2 linked regions of the Canis lupus familiaris genome follow. The protein of the gene in region 1 interacts with the protein of each later gene in a pairwise test. Links are inferred from orthologs where the notes say so. Each region holds a gene or a part of one and is shown on either strand. Other genes may lie near its edges. The genes, in order: TFAP2A and GSTO2.

Region 1 (4,533 bases):
CAGGCCTAGATGGAACTAAAAGTCGTTACCAGAGCAGCTCTGAGGCAGACCCACGTTGGTGCGTTTGCAGTATTCAGGAGGGAGAAAGCCACACAAAAACTTTTATACGGAGTACAAATGAGCAGCTCAGCCAGATAAATTAATTACTCTGTATTTCAAAGGATTACACCTCGTCTTTCTTTATAATTTCTTCTTTAAAACAATTCACTAAAAGAAGGAAAAAAATATATATATATATCAATCCCCGCTGGGGCGAGCAGGTCCCTGCGTGGAGCGGAAAAGCCTGGACTGGCCAATCTGGACTAGGAGGTGGCCCCGGGGCCTCCGGTTCCGCCTCAGCCGGGCACTGCGCCGCCAGCGCGCCCGCTTTAGTAACATCACCAAATCATGAAGGAACTCTCCCTGCTTTAATTAAAAAGGGGGATCTTGGGAAAACTGGAGCAGATTAGCGCAGCGAAGAGTTGGTTCCCAGCGATTTATTTTGATGCATGCATGACACGGAGCACACATGTCGGTTACTTCGGCACAACTCCAGGAGCGGCTGTGAGTCTCCACAGGAGTTCTGTATTTTGTCCACATCGCACCTAGGAAACCCTTAGCCCAAACACCACGTTGAATTATCAGTCAGCCCTGGCTTCATACAAACGAGAGGAAAATCACTTAACCCCTGGAGCTGTCAACTAACCTCTTTAGGGTACAATTTTTATTTTACACGCGGCCAATTAAAGGATCGCAAACCCCAGCCGAGCGACTGGAGCCGTTTGGCAAAATCTTCAACCTGGGAGGGGGGGTGGATTGGGGTGGGGGGGGTGGGAAGAGCAAAGCCAATAAAACTCCCAAGGCGCTGGGGCCCGAGGTGGTGGCTGCAGCGAGCGGAGGCGATCTCTTGTTGGGCAAAAATCCTGGAGTGACTTTGCCGGTCTCGGTTTGATGATTATATTTAATTGCGAAAGGGATAATAATTTCTAATAAAATTGGACGGGGCCGAAAGGACAGCGCGGTTAGCGCGGGCAGGGGTGAGGGAGAGGTGCTGAAAGGCGGGCCCCAGGCGCAGCGGCGCGGACCCTGCACAGCGCCGGGCCCTTGCGGATGGCATCTCCCTGGAGGAGGAGACGGAGGGGGAGAGGACTGGGGTGGAATGGCGCGGCGGCGGGGACCGGGGGTGGCCGGGGCCCGGGCGCACGGCAGGTCTCAGGGGAGATTTCGTCGGCTCGCAGGCGGGCGTGCGCTCTAGGAGCAAGTTCGCGGCTCGGAGAGGCCTTTATACCTGGGTCGGAGCGGCCGGCCGCAGACTGCAGGTGCTGGCGAGCAATTGGACTATTGTTGATATGCTAATGAGGCGATTAGGCTGTTGGTAAAGAGCTGGAAAAGGGAAAAGTTTCTACCATTAGAGGGAGATCTCCGAGCGCACACAGGAGCTCTTTCCCTTCTCGCCTCCTCCTCCTCACCCTCCTCCTCCTCGCCCTCCTCCTCCTCCTCCTCCTCTTTGCCCTCCTCCTCCTCCTCCTCGCCCTCCTCCTCCTCCTCCTCCTCCTCGCCCTCCTCCTCCTCCTCCTGCGCTCACCGCCGGCAGCCCGCACTTTGCGCTTACCCAGAGAGTAGCTCCACTTGGGTGCGAGGCGGAGAAGGGGGCAAATCCGTTCACGCCGATCCATGAAAATGCTTTGGAAACTGACGGATAATATCAAGTACGAGGACTGCGAGGTAAGCGCGGCGCTGGCTCTCCCTGCGGCCGCAGGCTCCGAGCTCTGCTTTCCCGCTCCTCCTCCTCCTCCGCTCGCAGCCAGCTGCGAAATGCGGGTGGGACAAACTTTCCCCAGCGCAGCGCCCGCCTCTCCAATTTGCCCGAAGAACGCAGGGGAGAAGCTGGAGAGGAAGGATGTGGACGCTGTCTTCTTTCATTTCTCTCCTTCGAAGCTCGTGTCCCACTACCCCCCCCCTTTTTTTTTCTGGCCAGTTTGGGGGTCTGCCTAAGAGTGAAGCGAAGACACGAGCATGGGGTTTGGAAGCAGTTGCTGGCAATTGGGCACGCGTCTGTGCACCCTGCGTGTCTCTCCAGCGAGATTGGGGGGGGGGGGCGAATCACCAGGAAGAGAAAGCAAAGAGAAGACCCCCTTTTTTTCCTCCGTAACTTCCGATCTTTACTATTCCTTCATTTATTCATTCTTTGCTTCCTATCGTCCCCCTCCCCTCTTCCTAAAAAGGGAGGCTCTTTTCCGTTTGGAGAAGGGCCCCCCCTCGCACACTTCAGTCTGAGCTGGGTCGCACCTCCCAGTGTTCGGGTTCAGTTTGGAGGCACCCCTCTCCCAAATTGCTGCGGGGCTCGCTCTGTGCTACTGAGGAAGTTCTGAGCAGCGTCTCCCTCTGAGGGACACTCCGAGAGCATCCCCTGGAGCGGAGGTGGGAGGGCTGCACCGCGTGGAGCCGCCTGCCCGCCGGGTCCCCGGGCTTCAGCCCCTGCAGGCGCCCGGCGGTCGGCTGCGTGACCGTGGGAATCCTGGCCGGGCGGCACACGACCTCGGGCGCGCGGATGGAGCGCGCCTCGTTGGAGCCCATTTGCAAACCCGGGGTCTCCGGAGCCCGGCTTCTCGGGGGCACGCCGGGGAAGCCCCAGCACCGCCGGCCCGCCCGCGGGAGGCGCTGGGAGCCGGCCTGGCCGCCGCGGCCCCGGGCTCCCTCGCAGCCCCCGCTGAAATGAGCCGCGGAGTCACGAGAGGGGGAGGGGGCCCGCGGCCGAGGGTTACCTACATAGGTGGTAGTCCCGGCTTTCGCTATTTTTTTTTTCTTTTTCCGTTCTTTTCTTTGAATTTGGCCTTTGGAGCTGGCAATGTGTGGAGCAGAGGTCTGCGCGGGCGCAGCAGCGTGGGTCTTGTCTTCACTTGAAATCAGAACCGGGGTTTGTGCGAACGCTGTGTCCCCGGTTCCCTGCCCCCTCTCCTCTCCGCCGACTATTTTAAATCTTTCTCCTTTCCCGGGCTCTTCCTTTCCGCCCTCCCCTCACCCCAAGGGGCACGGGGTGACACCCCGCGGGGACCGACGCTGCCCTGGGGGCTCCTCCCGCGTGCGCGGTGCGGGGCGCAGGGACCCCAGGGCGCACCAGCCGCTTTGTTTTGAGGCCCGTGGCGGGGGCGAGGGGTGGGGGGTGGGGGGTGGGGTGGGAGGGCTCTGCGAACGGGTCCGAGGGAGCTCCTCCGTCTCGGAGGGCGCACTGTCCCCGCCGGCGCTGTGGCCCGAGGCTCGGGCACGTCACCCTCGCGGAGGCTGGAACCCAGCTGCGGGCGCCGAGCCCTGGGCGGGCGGGGTCCCGACCTCCGCGCGGCTCGGGGCGCCTGGGAGACCTAGGTGGGAGGTGAGGAACTCGAGGGGCCCTGTGGGGGCGCGTGTGAATGTGTGTGTAAGCGAGGCGGAGAGAGGGAACAGAGGGAGGGCTGTTTCAACAACTTTGCGGCGGCGAGCGCCGGAGCAGGGATTTCGGGTTTCCGAGCCGGCTCGGGGCTGTCTAATTACGCCGGGGCTCTGCAGGGACACGCAGGAGGCGAGGTGCCGCGTGTCCTGACAACCCAGCAGGCGGACCGGCAGCGGCGGAGCCCAGCGGCGCAGGGAGAGAGCGAGCCGTGTCACGGGGGTGGGGGGGTGGGGGGGCGTCGGGCAGGAGTGGCCCAGCCAGTCGGACGGGTTTGCGCCGGGAGCCGGGAGCCGGGAGCCGGGAGCCCGTGCCAGCGGCGCCCGGGCTGGGCCGCCGAGCGTCTCCGCGCGCCCCGGGCCGCGTCCCGGCTCCCCCTCCCCGAGCCCCTGCCCCCGAGAGCCCAGGGCGGGGCGGCAGCTGCCGCGGAGCGGACGGCCCGGGCGGTCCGGGGCTGGAGGGGGGCGGGGGGCACCGGGTCATGGAGCAGCGGCGCGGCGGCGGGCCGCCGAACCCCGAGCCCCAGGCCCGGCTGCGCAGCGCAGGAGCCCGCGGCCGCAGCGGGCAGGGCAGCACCGCCCGCGCCGAGAGCCCGATGAATGCCCGGACGCGGGCCCCGGCGGCTCCTGCGCGCGACGCGCGGCCCCCACGGCATCCCGAGGTCTGCCCCAGCCTTTTAGGTCTGATTGTCCTCGCTCGCTTCCTCTGCCCCTCCCCCGCGGCCTCCCCCTGCGTGCGCTCCGGCTCGGCCCCCTCCCCCTCCCTCCCTCCCTCCCTCCCTCTTTCCCTCCCTCCCTTCCTCCTCTCGGGCTCTCCCTCCTTCCCTCCCTCCCCTCTCCCCACTCCGGGCTCCTCTCTCTCACCCACACTTTCTTTCTCACACGCGCACGCACACACATTCTCCCTCTCTGCGCTCTCTCCCTCGGTTTCCCTCTCTCCCTCTTTCTCTTTCACTTTTGCATGCCCTGCAACCTTTTAAAATGTTGCCCCTTCCCTGTGATTCGCCAGACGCCGCGCCGCGGCCCCCCGCGCGCTCGCCCGCTCCCTCTCTCGCCCGCTTTTTGTCTCTCGCGCTCCCTCTCCCCACCTCCGATTTGCTACACTGAGGCTCCCGTCAATGGACTGCATTG
Region 2 (4,518 bases), on another chromosome or scaffold:
CACATTCTCAGTATAGTAAAAGCTCAGTGTGTGCACTTGAAAATTAATAACTAATAATAGTGAATAAAAACACATGTTTAATAGCATAGTGCACTCCAATTTTGTACCTAGAAAGATGAAATGCACTGCAATTCTGTTTTGTCAAGTGCATTAGGATGGAAATTCAACTCAGAATACTTCTTTCACCAGTTACCAATTTAATGCCAGTTGAATGGGTTGAATGATGCAGGCTACGTTTCAGTAGTGTGGTTTTTAATCTTACCACTGAATGCTATGGTTTCCCTGGAAAAATTTTAATTATGACCTTTAAACTTATCCCCACTTCCTTTTTTTTTTTTTTTAAGATTTTATTTATTTATTCATGAGAGACACAGACAGAGAGAGGCAGAGACACAGGCAGAGGGAGAAGCAGGCTCCATGCAGGGAGCCTGACGTGGGACTGGATCCTGGGTCTCCAGGATCAGGCCCTGGGCTGAAGGCAGCACCAAACCGCTGAGCCACCGGGCTGCCCTCCCCACTTCCTTTCTAAGAACTGATACGTACCTCTTTGAAATCCTCTACGCAAACTTTCTTTCTTATGTTATTGTATCATGTCTAGACCTCTATTATACTGATTAACTCAAGCAAAAAACAAATAGTAATATGGCCATATGAAACCTACTCTAAAATATTTCTAGCCACCTGAAATATAATCAGATCTGTTTTGAAAATGTGGGAAACTTCAGTCATGGGTAATAATGACTCAAGCCTTCTAGGAAAAGAATGCCACCACAGAAATAGTTTCTTTCTTTTTTTTTTTTTAAGATTTATTTATTTATTCATGATAGACCTAGAGAGAGAGAGAGAGAGAAAGAGAGGCAGAGACACAGGCAGAGGGAGAAGCAGGCTCCATGTTGGGAGCCCGAGGTGGGACTTGATCCTGGGACTCCAGGATCACACCCTGGGCCAAAGGCAGGCGCCAAACCGCCAAGCCACCCAGGGATCCCAGAAATAGTTTCTTTACTCATTACACAAGTCTCTGTTTTAAGGAAAGGAAAGTGGAGTTTGCGTTTTGTAGTTCTTAAAATCTTTTTTTTTTTTTTTCCACATCAGTCTCTGGCAGTGGCAGGAACTGGAGGACATTCTCTTAATATTTCAGAAGCCTAATTTACATGAAAAATTCTGTTACTGGGTGTTCAAAAATTGTTCACCAAGTTCAAAGAGTGAGATAAGTAAGGGAAAAAGCTCTATTTTCAAATAGGTCTAAACTCAGGACTATTTCCAGAAAGTTAGGATCATAAGGAATCCTATGTTCTAATGCCCTTGGAACGTTTTTGTTTCATTTTTATTGAGATATAATTGACATACAGCTCTGTATGAGTTTAAGATACACAACACAATGACTTGATTTACCTAACTGGTATAATTACCACAATAAGTTTAGTTAACATCCATCTCCTCATACAGGTATATAAAAAAATTCTCCCCATGAGATCTTTTAAGATCTACTTTCTTAGCAAATTTCAAATATATCAAACAGTAATGTTAAGTACACTCATCTCATTGTACAGTACATCCCCAGGACTTACTTATCTTATAACTGAAACTGTGTTCCTTTTGACCACCTTTATCAGATCCTACATCCCTCCTCCACGAAACACACACACACACACACACACACACACACACACACACACACATCTGGGACATATCAAATAAAATTACTAAAGTTATCAGAAGCGGAACTTCACCTCCCCATTAGGTAAACCTGAGTCAAAGGAGACTTTTTAAGTACTAGATTCTGCTTTCCGATTCCTATTTCTCTTTACAGCTTGGGGGATCACAGAAAAAAATAAATAAAACATTTTAACATGATAACATTTGAAGGAGCAAAGGCAGATTTTCAAGATCCCGAAAACAGCCAAAGTTAAACACCGTAAAATCAAACAAAACACTAAGTTTGGAAAAGGAACCTCAACACTTCCTGTTAAGTCCCAGACATATGATGTGTCATAAAGTGGATACTATCCTCTCCTGGCTTAACCTCTAAATGCTAGTGACTAAAGACAGACCCAGGTGGAAGCATATGTGAGTTCTTCTCTCTCAAGGACTCTAAGAGCTCAGGCTGGATTTGAATCACCTTTTTCAGCATTACCTAGGTTGGTGACCTTGAGAAACACACATTTTTCTTTCTATGCCCTTTTGATCCCATCCATAATTTGGAGGCAATAGTACCAATATATTCTAGGGCTTGGGGAGGATTAATTCAGATACTGGTTGAGAGGCATTTCATATCTAGTAAGCATCTAACATCAGCTATTATTTTTATTAGTATTGGAACACAGCAGGGAAGTCCCGTAAGTATTCATAAAGTGAAGACATTCCCGGGGACCAAATGCCGCACCTCCCAGTGTCCTGTAATGTAGCTAACCCAGGGGTGCCCAGTGCAGGACTGGGAATCCTGATCTGAGGTCCCCTTTACCTGTCTCCAGCCAAATCAGAACAATAAGAACAATTCAGTGAGGTTTTTTTTTTTTTCTTCCTTTTTACGCTAAAGGGATTCGCTTTAACGACCTATTCTTTAAGTCATAGACCTTGTGCCTTTCTTGATGTTAAAATCTTTGATGAAACTTTGATGAGGTTAAGTCGTCGGATTTTTCTTTTAGAAGGGTTAGGCAAACCCGAAATTCCTGAAAAACCCCCAAATCCAGAATTGACCTCAAGCCCCTTCTCCCTTCCAATGCCTCGCAGACCGGACAGACCACCCCCCCTCCCGCCAGGGACCTCCGCGCCGGGCTGGGGGACCGGACACCGGACCGGGAGCGGCGGCGGCAGCGCGGGGCGGGGGCGGGGGCGGAGGGAGGCGGGGCCCCAGGCGAACCCGCCCCCTAGACCGCGATCCTACCCGCCAACTGGCCGCGGCGCCCGGAGCTCCAGCCAATCCTTAAGGCCTTTGGAAGCTCCGCGGCCGAGCAGTACGCAGCCGAGCCAATGGGCGGCCGCGTTACAGGCTGCTGGACGCCGGAGTCGCGAGGCCTCGCCGTGTCCGTGGCTGGCCGCCGTGGAGGCCCGCTAGTGGCTGGCGGTGGCGCCTCGGCGCGGGGGTCTGCATCCGACCCGGGCCTGGAGGGCGGGGCAGGCGGCCGGCGGCAGAGGTGGGTCCGCCCGGGGCCTGGGCGCTGGGGGCGGCCGAGGGTGGGCTGCGGGAAGCCTTTTGTGAAGTCAACCGGTTCTCACTGCCTCTCGGGGCGCGGCCCCCGGATCGCCTGCATCACGGGGCGCGGGGGGCTCATCTCCAATGTGGACTTGGCGGCGCTCCCTGGACCCACCGAGTGGGGAACCCGGCGGCGAGCCTCGGCTGATTGTTATGCGCTCTTACGTTTCAGAATAAGCAGGGGCGGGCAGCCGGGCCCAGCGGTGCAGCACCCGCCTGCAGCCCCGGGCGTGATCCTGGGACCCGGGATCGAGTCCCGCCTCGGGCTCCTGCATGGAGCCTGCTTCTCCTCTGCCTGTGTCTCTCATGAATAAATAAATCTTTAAAAAACAAAAATAAGTAGGGGAAACCGATGGGGGCGGGTGGACAGCTCCCTGATTTTGATGGGAAGAGTCGTGTGCTGGCTGTGCTCTCCGGATCTCTCTGCCAGCATCTTGCGGACTCAACCTCGGGATCTGGGTGAAATCATCTGTACAATGAAATGATGCTCTCCGACCTGCCTTCTCATGGAGGTGATGGGATGTTAGAAATGAAATAGAAGCCTAGTGGGCTGTGGAAGTATATGCAAGGTGGCGTGAATGTTTTTGAATTACTCATTTAGATTTATACCGAATTGATGGAGGCTGTCCTCACAGTATATAATTACATTTATGGGACCCCTGCTGGGGTATCCTACCCAACACGGGAGTTGGCAGGAAAAATCTGAAGGGGATTGAGATTGGGGACTGGGAGACCAAATAGGACTCCTAGTTACCTGACTTTGAGGTGCTATGAGTCTAGTCTTCAGTGGTGACAATGGGAATAAGAAAGGTAGTGGAGTTGATGGAAAGGAAAGAATGAGGATTGAAGACTTGAGAGAGAGGGCAGCTCTTGAAACGACAGGGTATCCAAGTGGAAATGTCCTGTGGGCAGTAAGAAATCTAGATTGAAGTCCAGTTCTTACCAGAGACGATGACTTAGAGGTTTGCAGCACACACTGATAAAACCCTTAGAATCTTGTGAGCATCGTGAGACAGGAAATGTGCTTACTTTTCTACAGGAGAGCCTCAAGGAAACCCCACAGTTAAGCCATGATGTCAAATCAGAGACGGTGATCCAATGAGACGTGAGAGTGTAAAAATGTGAGATGAGAGAGAGGTAAAATGAAAGCGCATTTTTACTCATATTAGTGAAAGAAAATATCAGACATTTAGTGAAAGAAAATATCAGACATTTCATTGCTGACTCTTGCCCCCATCAGAGCCCATAGTCACAGGCCTCGGGGCTGTTCTGCAAGTAGAGATTGAGGAATCCTCGAAGGGTGTTGGCCTCATTGAGGAGGGCTG

The links.
Region 2: the proteins of TFAP2A (region 1) and GSTO2 interact in binary tests that used the Homo sapiens proteins (3 or more experiments, as listed by UniProt). The two-hybrid records come from large-scale screens. The link is inferred for Canis lupus familiaris from reciprocal best matches to the Homo sapiens genes TFAP2A and GSTO2.

The regions. Positions count from the first base shown.
Region 1 is NC_049256.1:11,473,916-11,478,448, reverse strand, and holds the start of TFAP2A (transcription factor AP-2-alpha), read left to right. Parts: upstream 1-1,440; 5' UTR 1,441-1,653; coding exon 1,654-1,704; exon of another isoform or gene 1,705-1,866; intron 1,867-2,748; exon of another isoform or gene 2,749-3,105; intron 3,106-4,257; exon of another isoform or gene 4,258-4,533.
Region 2 is NC_049249.1:16,772,231-16,776,748, reverse strand, and holds the start of GSTO2 (glutathione S-transferase omega-2), read right to left. Parts: upstream 3,015-4,518; 5' UTR 2,885-3,014; intron 1-2,884. Other genes in the region: GSTO1 (glutathione S-transferase omega-1), read right to left, coding at 4,430-4,518. UniProt on the Homo sapiens protein: Exhibits glutathione-dependent thiol transferase activity. Has high dehydroascorbate reductase activity and may contribute to the recycling of ascorbic acid. Participates in the biotransformation of inorganic arsenic and reduces monomethylarsonic acid (MMA).